Xenopus tropicalis: one gene and its partners. The protein of the gene in region 2 purifies or fractionates together with the protein of the main gene of each other region. This does not show direct contact. Links are inferred from orthologs where the notes say so. Each region holds a gene or a part of one and is shown on either strand. Other genes may lie near its edges.

Region 1 (4,537 bases), on a different chromosome or scaffold from region 2:
TAGGAGTGAGGGTGCCAGTCAGTCAGTGAGTGTATGTAGGAGTGAGGGTGCCAGTCAGTGAGTGAGTGTATGTAGGAGTGAGGGTGCCAGTCAGTGAGTGAGTGTATGTAGGAGTGAGGGTGCCAGTCAGTGAGTGTATGTAGGAGTGAGGGTGCCGGTCAGTCAGTGAGTGTAGGAGTGAGGGTGCCAGTCAGTCAGTGAGTGTAGGAGTGAGGGTGCCAGTCAGTCAGTGAGTGTAGGAGTGAGGGTGCCAGTCAGTCAGTGAGTGTAGGAGTGAGGGTGCCAGTCAGTCAGTGAGTGTAGGAGTGAGGGTGCCAGTCAGTGAGTGAGTGTAGGAGTGAGGGTGCCAGTCAGTGAGTGAGTGTATGTAGGAGTGAGGGTGCCAGTCAGTCAGTGAGTGTAGGAGTGAGGGTGCCAGTCAGTCAGTGAGTGTTTGTAAGAGTGAGGGTGCCAGTCAGTCAGTGAGTGTATGTAAGAGTGAGGGTGCCAGTCAGTGAGTGAGTGTATGTAAGAGTGAGGGTGCCAGTCAGTCAGTGAGTGTATGTAGGAGTGAGGGTGCCAGTCAGTCAGTGAGTGTATGTAGGAGTGAGGGTGCCAGTCAGTGAGTGAGCGTATGTAAGAGGGAGGGTGCCAGTCAGTGAGTGAGTGTATGTAGGAGTGAGGGTGCCAGTCAGTGAGTGAGTGTATGTAAGAGGGAGGGTGCCAGTCAGTCAGTGAGTGTATGTAAGAGGGAGGGTGCCAGTCAGTCAGTGAGTGTATGTAAGAGTGAGGGTGCCAGTCAGTCAGTGAGTGTATGTAGGAGTGAGGGTGCCAGTCAGTCAGTGAGTGTATGTAAGAGTGAGGGTGCCAGTCAGTGAGTGAGTGTATGTAAGAGGGAGGGTGCCAGTCAGTGAGTGAGTGTATGTAAGAGTGAGGGTGCCAGTGAGTGAGTGAGGGTGCCAGTCAGTCAGTGAGTGTATGTAGGAGTGAGGGTGCCAGTCAGTGAGTGAGTGTATGTAAGAGGGAGGGTGCCAGTCAGTCAGTGAGTGTATGTAGGAGTGAGGGTGCCAGTCAGTCAGTGAGTGTATGTAAGAGGGAGGGTGCCAGTCAGTCAGTGAGTGTATGTAGGAGTGAGGGTGCCAGTCAGTGAGTGAGTGTATGTAAGAGTGAGGGTGCCAGTCAGTCAGTGAGTGTATGTAAGAGGGAGGGTGCCAGTCAGTGAGTGAGTGTATGTAAGAGTGAGGGTGCCAGTGAGTGAGTGAGGGTGCCAGTCAGTCAGTGAGTGTATGTAGGAGTGAGGGTGCCAGTCAGTCAGTGAGTGTATGTAGGAGTGAGGGTGCCAGTCAGTCAGTGAGTGTATGTAGGAGTGAGGGTGCCAGTCAGTCAGTGAGTGAGTGTATGTAGGAGTGAGGGTGCCAGTCAGTCAGTGAGTGTATGTAAGAGGGAGGGTGCCAGTCAGTCAGTGAGTGTATGTAGGAGTGAGGGTGCCAGTCAGTGAGTGAGTGTATGTAAGAGTGAGGGTGCCAGTCAGTGAGTGAGTGTATGTAAGAGGGAGGGTGCCAGTCAGTGAGTGAGTGTATGTAAGAGTGAGGGTGCCCAGTGAGTGAGTGAGGGTGCCAGTCAGTCAGTGAGTGTATGTAGGAGTGAGGGTGCCAGTCAGTCAGTGAGTGTATGTAGGAGTGAGGGTGCCAGTCAGTCAGTGAGTGTATGTAGGAGTGAGGGTGCCAGTCAGTGAGTGAGTGTATGTAGGAGTGAGGGTGCCAGTCAGTCAGTGAGTGTATGTAGGAGTGAGGGTGCCAGTCAGTCAGTGAGTGTATGTAGGAGTGAGGGTGCCAGTCAGTGAGTGAGTGTATGTAGGAGTGAGGGTGCCAGTCAGTGAGTGAGTGTATGTAGGAGTGAGGGTGCCAGTCAGTGAGTGAGTGTATGTAGGAGTGAGGGTGCCAGTCAGTGAGTGAGTGTATGTAGGAGTGAGGGTACCAGTCAGTGAGTGAGTGTATGTAGGAGTGAGGGTGCCAGTCAGTGAGTGAGTGTATGTAGGAGTGAGGGTGCCAGTCAGTCAGTGAGTGTATGTAGGAGTGAGGGTGCCAGTCAGTCAGTGAGTGTATGTAGGAGTGAGGGTGCCAGTCAGTCAGTGAGTGTATGTAGGAGTGAGGGTGCCAGTCAGTCAGTGAGTGTATGTAGGAGTGAGGGTGCCAGTCAGTGAGTGAGTGTATGTAGGAGTGAGGGTGCCAGTCAGTCAGTGAGTGTATGTAGGAGTGAGGGTGCCAGTCAGTGAGTGAGTGTATGTAGGAGTGAGGGTGCCAGTCAGTCAGTGAGTGTATGTAAGAGGGAGGGTGCCAGTCAGTGAGTGAGTGTATGTAAGAGGGAGGGTGCCAGTCAGTGAGTGAGGGTGCCAGTCAGTCAGTGAGTGTATGTAGGAGTGAGGGTGCCAGTCAGTCAGTGAGTGTATGTAAGAGGGAGGGTGCCAGTCAGTCAGTGAGTGTATGTAGGAGTGAGGGTGCCAGTCAGTCAGTGAGTGTATGTAAGAGGGAGGGTGCCAGTCAGTGAGTGAGTGTATGTAGGAGTGAGGGTGCCAGTCAGTGAGTGAGTGTATGTAAGAGGGAGGGTGCCAGTCAGTGAGTGAGTGTATGTAAGAGGGAGGGTGCCAGTCAGTGAGTGAGTGTATGTAGGAGTGAGGGTGCCAGTCAGTCAGTGAGTGTATGTAGGAGTGAGGGTGCCAGTCAGTGAGTGAGTGTATGTAGGAGTGAGGGTGCCAGTCAGTGAGTGAGTGTATGTAAGAGGGAGGGTGCCAGTCAGTGAGTGAGTGTATGTAGGAGTGAGGGTGCCAGTCAGTGAGTGAGTGTATGTAAGAGGGAGGGTGCCAGTCAGTGAGTGAGTGTATGTAGGAGTGAGGGTGCCAGTCAGTGAGTGAGTGTATGTAAGAGGGAGGGTGCCAGTCAGTCAGTGAGTGAGTGTAGGAGTGAGGGTGCCAGTCAGTCAGTGAGTGTATGTAAGAGGGAGGGTGCCAGTCAGTGAGTGAGTGTATGTAAGAGTGAGGGTGCCAGTCAGTGAGTGAGTGTATGTAGGAGTGAGGGTGCCAGTCAGTCAGTGAGTGTATGTAGGAGTGAGGGTGCCGGTGAGTGAGTGAGTGAGTGAGGGTGCCAGTGAGTGAGGGTGCCAGTGAGTGAGGGTGCCAGCCATTGCCCGTACTTACCCTGTCACCCCACAAGCGGCAGATTCGGTCCCAGAGCTCCCAGCCCTTCCGTTTCCGCCCTGGTCCCGTCAGTGAAGCCAAACTCAGCTGAAACCGCAGGTGACGCTACGCGCATGCCTTCTGAGAACCTGTCAAGGACGTCACTTCCGGTGCAAAGGGCCGCCCTGAATATAATTCCGACTGGAAAACTGTATTTCACAGACGTTTCGCTGCTAGAGGTCCGGCTCCCTACAGCGCAAAGCCCTCTTGTAGCGGATATTCGCTCACAGTATCTTCCTGCTCATCTATTAAATTAGCCAATCACTGTATCTCCAGGCGATTAGTGCCCGCCCCCCTGGATAAGATCTACTAAAAACAGAAAGCGGCAGGGACCAAACAGCATGAAAGGGCAAAACGTACGATTAATGGGGTAGCGATGAGCTGCTCAGGCCTGTGACGGGAGGTGAGTAGGGAAGGACACAGGGGTACCCAGGGGCACCCTAGGACTTGTGGGACGGGAGTGCAGGGGGGGCAGGATTTGGGGAGTAGAACTGGGAAGAGAATTTGAGGGAAATGGAAGGTGGGGGGGGGGGGGGGTTCTACAGTTCATGAGTCTGAATAGTATGAGAGGTGGGAGCTGCCCTACTGCTTGTGTAGCCCCGGCACCAACATGTCTTCTCTCTCCCTGTAAGGTCAGAATGGTGAGAAAAGGAGACACCCCAGGTGCATCCAGACTCCCTGCATCTCGTCTGTAACGGCCATTGTGTTCCCCCCATCCCTGCATCACCCCAGCCCAGGGGGCAAAGGGTAAGTACCATGGATATGAAATATATACTGCACTCCATAGGTACAACTGGTTACATTGAATTGTAAGCTCACTGGGACTGAGGGGAATGTGATGGGGACCTTAGATTGTAAGCTCACTGGGGCAGGGACTGATGGGAATGGGATAGGGACCTTAGATTGTAAGCTCACTGGGGCAGGGACTGATGGGAATGGGATAGGGACCTTAGATTGTAAGCTCACTGGGGCAGGGACTGATGGGAATGGGATAGGGACCTTAGATTGTAAGCTCACTGGGGCAGGGGCTGATGGGAATGGTATAGGGGCCTTAGATTGTAAGCTCACTGGGGCAGGGGCTGATGGGAATGGGATAGGGACCTTAGATTGTAAGCTCACTGGGGCAGGGGCTGATGGGAATGGTATGGGGCCTTAGATTGTAAGCTCACTGGGGCAGGGACTGATGGGAATGGTATAGGGGCCTTAGATTGTAAGCTCACTGGGGCAGGGGCTGATGGGAATGGGATAGGGACCTTAGATTGTAAGCTCACTGGGGCAAGGGGCTGATGGGAATGGGATAGGGACCTTAGATTGTAAGCTCACTGG
Region 2 (4,437 bases):
AAAAGCCTCTTCAACTTCCTGCTGGGAACAGGTTCCTTTTTCTCATCAAAAACCCTTTTTGTGTCTACATAAACTGAACTCTAAGCAACAGGTAACATAGATACAGCAAAGCTGAGAGAATGTTTGGGTTATGTAAACATGGAAATCATTACAAGGCCTACTGAAAAGAAGCATGGACTCCTGGCATGAAAGGTGATAATGCAAGTGCCAAGTCTATGAAAGTGAAGTCAGCTGTAATAACTGGGTATGTGCTGTATTGCCATCGCCTGGAGAAACACTAACACCAGGCAATGCCCAGCCCATATAGGGCTGCAGTTTTCTAGGCATATGTGGTTTGCAATGCTGGCATTCCTGCTTAGTAGGTATAGCCCACTAACTAAGGAATGTTATCAGGGAAAGCAGAAAAAAACGAAATAATGAAAATACAATAATAGTTTTCAACTGTGTTCGCTCTATATATAAACCTGTGGCATCTAGCAGGGGGCACTGCCAGCACATTGTGACTGTTGCGGGTGCTGGATGTTGTAGTTCAGCAGCTGGAGGGTGGCACGCAGGATAGCCCTGACACGGTGTTACTGTCACACTAGCTCACCATTCACACTCACCCACAGTCACAGGATCCTCCCTGCTACAGACACTGCTCCGCCGCTGTCTGCACAGACCAATCAGTGACACGTATAGAATGATGTAACTGCAGGCATTTCTGTACGTATAGGGTTATAATATTCTCATAACTTATCCTAGTGATGAGGCTGTGCCTTACATATTTCAGACATATCTATAAATTAAAAACATTAAAACTCCATTGTGACAGTACCGATCCTCTGTCTTTTAAAGTATATACAAATAATATGTATCGATAAATGTACTGAAGACATATCTAAATGCCACTGCGTGTGTTCTGAAGAAAATAGCAATACTGTACAATGTCATATGTATTCTGACAAAACATTAAACTGGTTTTATCTAACAGATGTCCAAAGGGGCTTCTATATGTAGGTAACAAAACTCACTTGGCGCTTGACTTAAACCATGAACATAAAACATAAGTATGGCTGCCAAACATGAAATCCATACACAAAGCGTGTGTGGCTCCATTCCCCTCTTGCAACTAGGGATGCCCTGGGTCAGTTTGTAGGTTGGCAAACTCTAGTAAATAGTCAACTGTAAAGCTGGGATGTCAGCCCACGTCCCTCCAGCTGCTGTGATTTGCATTACCCAGTATTCATACCCTTCAACTGCTGGGGCATGCTGGGAGCTGACAGCCGCTTGAGGAAGGAAGGCTGAGGCATCTGATGGAGTAATTTATTGTACAAGAATTGCACAGAGCTTTCATTCCATCTCCAGCAGAACTGACTGCTTAAAGCAAGATACCTGAGGTTTCACAATATCTTCATTTGCCTTATCACAGTACTTTGCAGAGTTTTTTGTTTTTACATTTTTATATATTCGTACTATGATTAGAAAAAAAAAAAGGAAAAGAAAATCATAAAAACTATAGCTTTCACCATTTCCCTATGTTTAGTCACTCATCATTCAGGAATGTCCATGTCCTGTGATATCCATGAGCAGAGGCAAGTACGATAGGGATAATAATGCAAGGTCCATTTTTGCCTTAAAAAGGAGGAAAACATTCTTCAGTGCGAGGAAGAGTCCACTCCATTAACGGAATACCTGTAATGCAAGAATAGGAAAGGAGTAACGAAGGGCAGCCAATTATTTTGGTTATTATTTTGGTTGCCAAACGTTTGGTACGCCCAGCGTTTGTAATCACTTGCCCGAGGATGGCTTGGTTGAAGGAACCCAGGGCCGGTGCAGTTTTTGGCAGTCTGGAGCACCAGCCTGGGGTTCCGCCAACCAAGCCATCCTCTTCTTTTGTGAAAGATTTGTCCGAAAACCAACCCAAATCCTAATTTGCATTTGACGATTAGGAAAAGGAAGGGTTAAGGAGAACCGCACACAAAGTGACAGTGAAACATTTTCAACTTCTATGTTTATGTGACAAAAAGTCACATGATTTTTAGGATTCAGATTTGGTTCAGCCAGGAGCATGGATTCTGCCAAATCCTAATCTTGTGGAAAAAGCTGAATTTAGGCCGAATCCTGGATTTAGTACATCCATAGTAAAAAACTAGAATGTGCCACTGCATTATACTCCTCTAAACATAGAAGAAATGTGCTTTAAAAATAAGTGTTGCAAGGCTGATTTATTGAAAAGTTCTCCAAAAACAGTCCCACCCATCTGTTTCACTTCCTACTGCCTCCTTTCCCAGGCTGTGCAAAGGAACCAGAAGCACTTAGCACACTGCATTGTAGGACAGGAACCAATCAGCAGCTAGGTGTAACTGATAAGGACCTGAAACCTGCCATTGTGTGTGTGACTGCAGGGCTGTGATTGGCTATCCCGCTTCTACTGTGCTTCTGGTACACCTTATTTGAAACAAGGAGAGGGCAAATCTACAGGGAGCTCCAATAAAAGGGGCCATTTTTTAAAGATAATGATCATTTTTAGCCCTGAGTGAAATCTGCACCACATATTATTCATTATTGCCTACAAGTTTGGGGGGGGGGGGGGGGGGGGTCACATATACTATATCATTTTAGTATATTTTAGCCTTAGAGCAAGAGACAGAAGCAAAGAAAAAAAAGTTCCAAGCATTCGGCATACCAAATCCAATCTAGGTAGGTCCCACTCTCTCCAAAGGAAACAATTAAGTTAAATTACTGTCTGGGTTATTGTGTGCTCCAAAGGTTTCATTTAAGTATAAAGCTTTGAATTAAATTGTGTGAAATTTGACTCCTTAACCAACTAAATTGTCTTTTCTCTATTACTGTGTGGTGTCCCGGTGGCAAAACAAGTGGTAAATACTAAATTGAAACTATTGCTATGCAGAACCAGGTCACGGTGAAATACACAACACTCACGCACACATTGATATATGTGATCAGCAAGAAACAAATCCATGCAAAATGTTAGTTCTCACCTCTGAAGCCTAATAAGAAGCTGTGATACCATGGAGTCCGAGATACCCGGACAGGCCTCTTCAGCTAAATAAATTGCCTCTCTCAGTTCCTCTATTGAGCCTACGTTCCCGCCACACGCTTGACTCTTCTCCTTCAGCTGAAAGTAGAAAAAAATGCAAAAGTCTAAGGCTAATGCCACACTGGGATGATTCTCGGTCTGTGGGAAAGTCTGAGAATTAGCCCCTAAGCTGGCATCAGCCTTCTTCTTTGGCTGCACCCAGAACAAATGTGCGAGTCTGGGCACATGCGGCATTTCTTTACCAATATCTCCTGCATGTGCCTGCACCCTGGGCAACACAATGGCTCCAGGTGAAGGCAAAGAAGGCAGCTGATACCAGCGAAGGGTGCCGATTCTTGGTCTGCATTTTTCAACAAGCCGAGAATCAGCCCCATGTGGCATCAGTCTTACCCTTAGGGGCAGCTGCTCATTAAAACAAGAATGAGCCAAAGAATAGACAAAATGTACCTACCTCTGCAAATAAAGGAGACATAATTGTAGATAAGCACTGAGACAATGGCCGTTTGGGAATGTCTTTAACCTTAAATGTAATGTAAAAAAAAATAAATCAGTATTCGTCAGTAAGCAGACATTTTAGAAGAATGATTATTTTAATTTAAAAGAGACAAAATTCATATTTCTTAATATACAGCATATATACATACAAGCAAAGAGAAGTGAGGACGGTGAGTACTGCACATAACCCTTTCCATTCTTGTTCATTTAAAGAACATGACTCTTACTGCCATCAATACAATTAATGCTATAATAATAAATGAAAAAGACAGGGATTATGCTGCCTTGACTACTCCTAAAAGCATCGGAGGGAGACATTGTTAAGCACTTACTTTATTATAAGATTTAAAGTAATAGGCAGTGTATGTTTTTCCCATATCAAGCAAGGCTGGGGAGTGTAGCAAGCACTTACCATTATAAGTCATTGGTTCATATTAATATAAACTGTAGTATAATGGCTGGACAATAGGAACTTTTCTTGTGACTCAGACTTTATGCCTTACCTCTTCTGGCTGTGCAGGAATGGGCTCCAAGTTCTTCAAGTCTCTCTTTCTTCTTGTGAAGTTCCAATAATCCTTCTCGCTGCCAGCAGCTTGATCTACTTCTTCCCTTTACAGTGGGCAAAGGCAGACATATATACAAGGTTTATTTCTTATTACTGAACCTGCACTCTATGCCTGATCAATTTTCCCCTGTATTACTATAATTATTTCAATTTTTTCATAGAACACACACAGTTTTAGAAAAGGTGATTAGCTTGCAGCTGCATTTGTAATTCCTACTGGCATACCCAACCAGTCTCTCTACCAGTTTCTCTTATCCCCAGGATTTGACACTCAGTCTGCACTGCTGTCAGGGACAACTGAAACTGCTTGCAGAAGCCCCCAGAGCAGCAAATG
Region 3 (4,437 bases), on a different chromosome or scaffold from region 2:
TGCTCCTTTTAAATGAGCAGTTTTTGCCATTAGATTAATGCTTAATGTTTTAATACATTTTTTGTTGTGTTTTTTTTAAAAAAAATTTGGAGATTGAAGCTACTTCATGTTTGGTCCTTGTGAGGTAGATAGATTACCAGCTGTTATATTCCATCTGCCTGTACATGTAGTTTTCAGGGGGGAATAAGCTATGGTAGACAAGTAAACAAGAGGATCAGGAGCATAGAAACACGGCTTTATTTTTACTCTTCCCAACCACCATTCAGGGTAACTTTTACACTCTTGGAACTTTCGGGGCTTCTCGCAATCCCCAGTAACCTGCACGCTAGGGGACTTGGGCTTCTTACAGAGCCCTGCTAACTCTCCCCTTCTAGTTCACCTGCCACTGGCCAGGCTCACCTGCTGGCAGCACCACACATCCTGCAACACAAGGAGATCTCTGGAGAGAATTACTGTGTAACTCTTATTTGCTGCTTATCTGCTGCTTAATCGGGCAGCTCCCTTCAACTGGGCAAATGCACACTCTAAAGGTGGCCATACACGCACCGATAATATTGTATGAAACCTCGTTTCGTACGATATTCGGTGCGTGTATGGTATGTCGGCGAGTCGACCGATAACGCAGGAAGCTGCTGATATCGGCCGACTCGCCGATCGGGCGCCGTAGAAGGCGCCTGACCAAAATCTCCCTTCAGCGCTGAATCGGCAGAAGGAGGTAGAAATCCTATTGTTTCTACCTCCTTACCTGCCGATTCAGCCCTGAATGGTGTGTGGCGGGTCAGATCGCCACGTGTATGGCCAGCTTAAATAGAGTACAAATTGGAAGGCCTATCCTACTCTCCTTCATCTACTTCAGGGACCCATTTATCTGCCTTTTCCTAGAGAAAATCCAGAGCCTTCCCTTTGTGTGAACGGCAGTCTATGACCCCATTTGATTGGTCACAACACATTGATATCATGTCACGCCTCCCAGTGATGTCATTCCATGCCGCTTCTGGTTTCTTGTAATGGTATTGTAAATACAATAGGAGCTGTGTGGGAGTTGATATGAAGTTTGTGGCTACCCTGCACTGAGTTGTTGCTGGGCCAGTTGTACTTTCACAGAAAATGGTTATTATTGATATTCAAAAAAAAATAAATAAAAAATAGGTGAATGTATGGCTGGGCAGGGTGCAACCCCCATAAGGGTGCATAATATTGCAGATGTTCAAGGACTTTTTTTCTTTGGCATTTAATAAAAACATAATTAAACTTTGCTGTAGAGCCATAAAATCATTGCTTTTGCTTCATAGCTTTTTTTTTTTTTTTTAACTTTTCGTTTGGTATTAATGTGTACTTTTAATTCTAGATACTATATACGATGAAGATGAGGTTCTTTTGGCACTCGCAGAACAACTGGGAAGCTTCACTAGCCTTGTTGGTGGTTCAGAATTTGTTCATTGTCTTCTAGTAAGTACTTTTTTTTCATGATTACGATCTGTTAAAACTAATTTGCTAAAGGGACATTCATGAGCTGTTGTGAAATTGTGAAGCTGTGAATCTTGAAAAGGAATAAATGCGTGCTTGTAGCATTTAGGCCCCTTTTACAGGTAGCAGAAACACACCACCTGCGTGGAGAGTAACTGTCTTGAATGCATACTGCCTGTTACTTTAAGTGATGGTGCATATATAGTGTGTACTGTAATAAGTAGATCGCAGTCAAGACAGCTGCTCCACTTATCAGGCAGAACCACTGGCATGATCAGCTCCAGTAAATAGTTTGTGTTCTTACCCCCGCTTCTTACAATTTCCTCCTTTATTCCATAAAATGGGCAGGCAGGTTAATTACCTCCAGATATGTAATATAGATTGACTCTAGTGTTTAAATGTAAGGGGGAATTAGATTGTAAATTCCACTTGGACAGTGACTTTTTGAATAATCTGTCTTTGTAAAGTTTGTTCAAGCAGCTATCATTCCCAAGAAATATATTGCATTACTTTTTTTGTGAGTTTCTGGATTGCTATTTAAATAGTCCGTTTACTTTTAGAGTCCAAAATTTTTTTGGCCTGCAAAATAAATGAGCATTTAAACTTGGCCTGATTCTTTTTTTGGTTGTTTGCATTCATTATACAAATACTGTATGTAGTTCACTAATGCTTGCTGTGAAGAGTGTCTCTAGTGTAACATTTATAGTGAAATGCAAGGTTAGCATTTTAAGGTATATTTTCCCTTCATTGTAGCAGGCTGCCTGTACATATATCATGGACACTGAAATGTACCTCCAAGGGTGAATTTCATGCCTTTTATATGTCTTTTTTTGCAATCCACCCAAGATCAATTTCTGCTGATTCCCAAATTGTTTCATGACATTTGCCTGAAACTCAGTGCCTGATCAAAACAACTTTCAACTGTTAAAATCGCATGACTTTAGACCATATGACAACAGACAGTTCGTTTTTCTTAGTATTTTTTCCTCCCATTGCCTCAATGTTCTATTGGGTTGAAATATCTGTGTCTTCATTTGCAGCCTGTGAATTGTGTTGTAAGTACTCTAGGGGCAGCGATTTCCCGAAATCCAGAAAACCCCAGGTCCTTAGCATTCTGGATAACAGGTCCCCTACCTTTAGTAGCTTCCATGAGCATTTTTAAGCAGATCTGTCATTGCTACATGTTCTTCAGGCACTGTTTCTCATAGATTACTATGGAAATTAGTGACTGGCTTTTTGAAACGTTTTTTGACGGTTGCTGCTTTCTACCTGATCCAAATACCTCGTATCCCGTTAGCCGTAAGTCTGTGGGAGAAACGTGTGGGTGGGAATGAGCCAACTAACAGCCTAGTAGAGCCAAATTTTAAAATGCTATTTGGATACCTAGTAGTGGCCTGCACTAGTCTTTTCAGTGGCCAGCACAACACCCGAGATTCTGTAGAAAAACTAATATATTATGGGGTTGTCCTTCCTAAATTAACTTTTAGTATGACACAGATAGTGATATTCTGAGACAATTTGCATTTTTTTTTTCATTTGTATTTTATTTAGCTATTTGTTCAGCAGCTCTTAGTTTGACATTTTAGTAACTGGTTGCTAGGTTCTTGTTTACCAGGGGGTGGTTTTAATGAGAGACTGCAATATGAATAGGAGAGGGAAAGGTTTTTGGCTGTCTGGATCAGTGACCGCCATTTGACAGCTGGAAAAATGTAGAATAGGAAGGCGATAATATTTACAGGTTTAAAATAATGAAGACCAGTTGGAGAGTTGCTAGGAGTAGGACATTATTAATGTAAGGGTGAACCACCCCTTTAACATCGTAAAACTGTTAATTTTCATATTAAGGTAAATTGTATAAGTGCCCAAAAGCAATTTGATGGGTATTTTCTGTGAGGTTTAGTAGCACTTTCATTGATGGCTTTTCCCTGGGGAAAAGAAATTTCTTAATAGCTGTGGCCCACATGATCTGATTTCCATTAACTGCTGTAGGGCACTTCCTGCACATTTGAGTGCAGATGAGAGGAGGAGCTTGCTTTGATAAAAACACCTGTATGCTACAGGCCTCCACTTTATCTAACTGTTTGCACAGATTCATACTATTTTATGTGTGTGTAAAACAAAAAGACAGATGGAACTTATACTGCTATACCCCAATGTGTTATCAATTTCATAAACGTACATAAAAGTTGCTCTGTAGACGAGCTTTGTCCTCTGTTGGCTTCAGCTACAAAGTCGCATCTGGCTCCCCACTTCCCTGCCAATCTACTTTGTGCGTCAGCAAGTAAAGCTGCCAGGATCTTAGATCTCTTGTGAGCCTATTCTGCCTTCTGGAACAATCGCCTTGCAAGTGCTGCTGCTGCTGAGACATTAGGTGCCATCTGGGGGGCCCTGCTTCCTTGGCGCCTTTCCCAATTGTGAGCTCAGTTTGGCAGCCATTAAATATTTTTCTCCACGTCACCAGCCCAGTTAAAGCTAATTTATGTGGGTTGATAGCAGATGTTGCTGCATAAACTTGAATAAAACAGGCAGGCCCAGGTGGCAATATACACACATTAAGCTTACATTATTGAATTTAAGGTAATCGGTGATAGGGTCTTGTGCACATTCTAGCAAAGGGGCTCAAAAGTCCTTTAATTCCAAAACTGAGAACTCATGCTATATTGAGTACTGCCCCCCCCCCCCCCCCCCCCACTCCAGTATTCGGCTTAATTCATATTCAAAATAATCCCACCAGTGAGAATTCTACTGAGAGAGAGAGAGAGAGAGAGAGAGAAGACAATTCACGAGTAAGAATGACCCAATGCTGGTAATGAGCAGTCATTTTGCTGTTATCTTATAAAAAAGCAAAACGTTACATCATAGTATATTAGACTGTAATGAGACATGGGGATATAGGACATACTTGTTCAGTGCTGTGAAAACTCTGCTTAAACCTTCCAGCTCCAGTTGCTGGAACAAAGAGCTTGGAGA

What was found.
Region 1: the proteins of stk24 (region 2) and fgfr1op2 purify together in Homo sapiens (affinity purification with mass spectrometry; 4 studies listed by BioGRID and IntAct, with this or other methods). This does not show direct contact. The link is inferred for Xenopus tropicalis from reciprocal best matches to the Homo sapiens genes STK24 and FGFR1OP2.
Region 3: the proteins of stk24 (region 2) and ppp2r1b purify together in Homo sapiens (affinity purification with mass spectrometry; 3 studies listed by BioGRID and IntAct, with this or other methods). This does not show direct contact. The link is inferred for Xenopus tropicalis from reciprocal best matches to the Homo sapiens genes STK24 and PPP2R1B.

What each region holds. Positions count from the first base shown.
Region 1 is NC_030679.2:2,582,923-2,587,459, reverse strand, and holds the start of fgfr1op2 (FGFR1 oncogene partner 2 homolog), read right to left. Parts: upstream 3,277-4,537; 5' UTR 3,173-3,276; intron 1-3,172. UniProt on the Homo sapiens protein: May be involved in wound healing pathway.
Region 2 is NC_030678.2:121,400,168-121,404,604, reverse strand, and holds the end of stk24 (serine/threonine-protein kinase 24), read right to left. Parts: intron 4,148-4,437; coding exon 4,042-4,147; intron 3,564-4,041; coding exon 3,495-3,563; intron 3,122-3,494; coding exon 2,985-3,121; intron 1,675-2,984; coding exon 1,638-1,674; 3' UTR 701-1,637; downstream 1-700. UniProt on the Homo sapiens protein: Serine/threonine-protein kinase that acts on both serine and threonine residues and promotes apoptosis in response to stress stimuli and caspase activation.
Region 3 is NC_030683.2:84,350,778-84,355,214, reverse strand, and holds part of ppp2r1b (serine/threonine-protein phosphatase 2A 65 kDa regulatory subunit A beta isoform), read left to right. Parts: intron 1-1,348; coding exon 1,349-1,449; intron 1,450-4,437. UniProt on the Homo sapiens protein: The PR65 subunit of protein phosphatase 2A serves as a scaffolding molecule to coordinate the assembly of the catalytic subunit and a variable regulatory B subunit.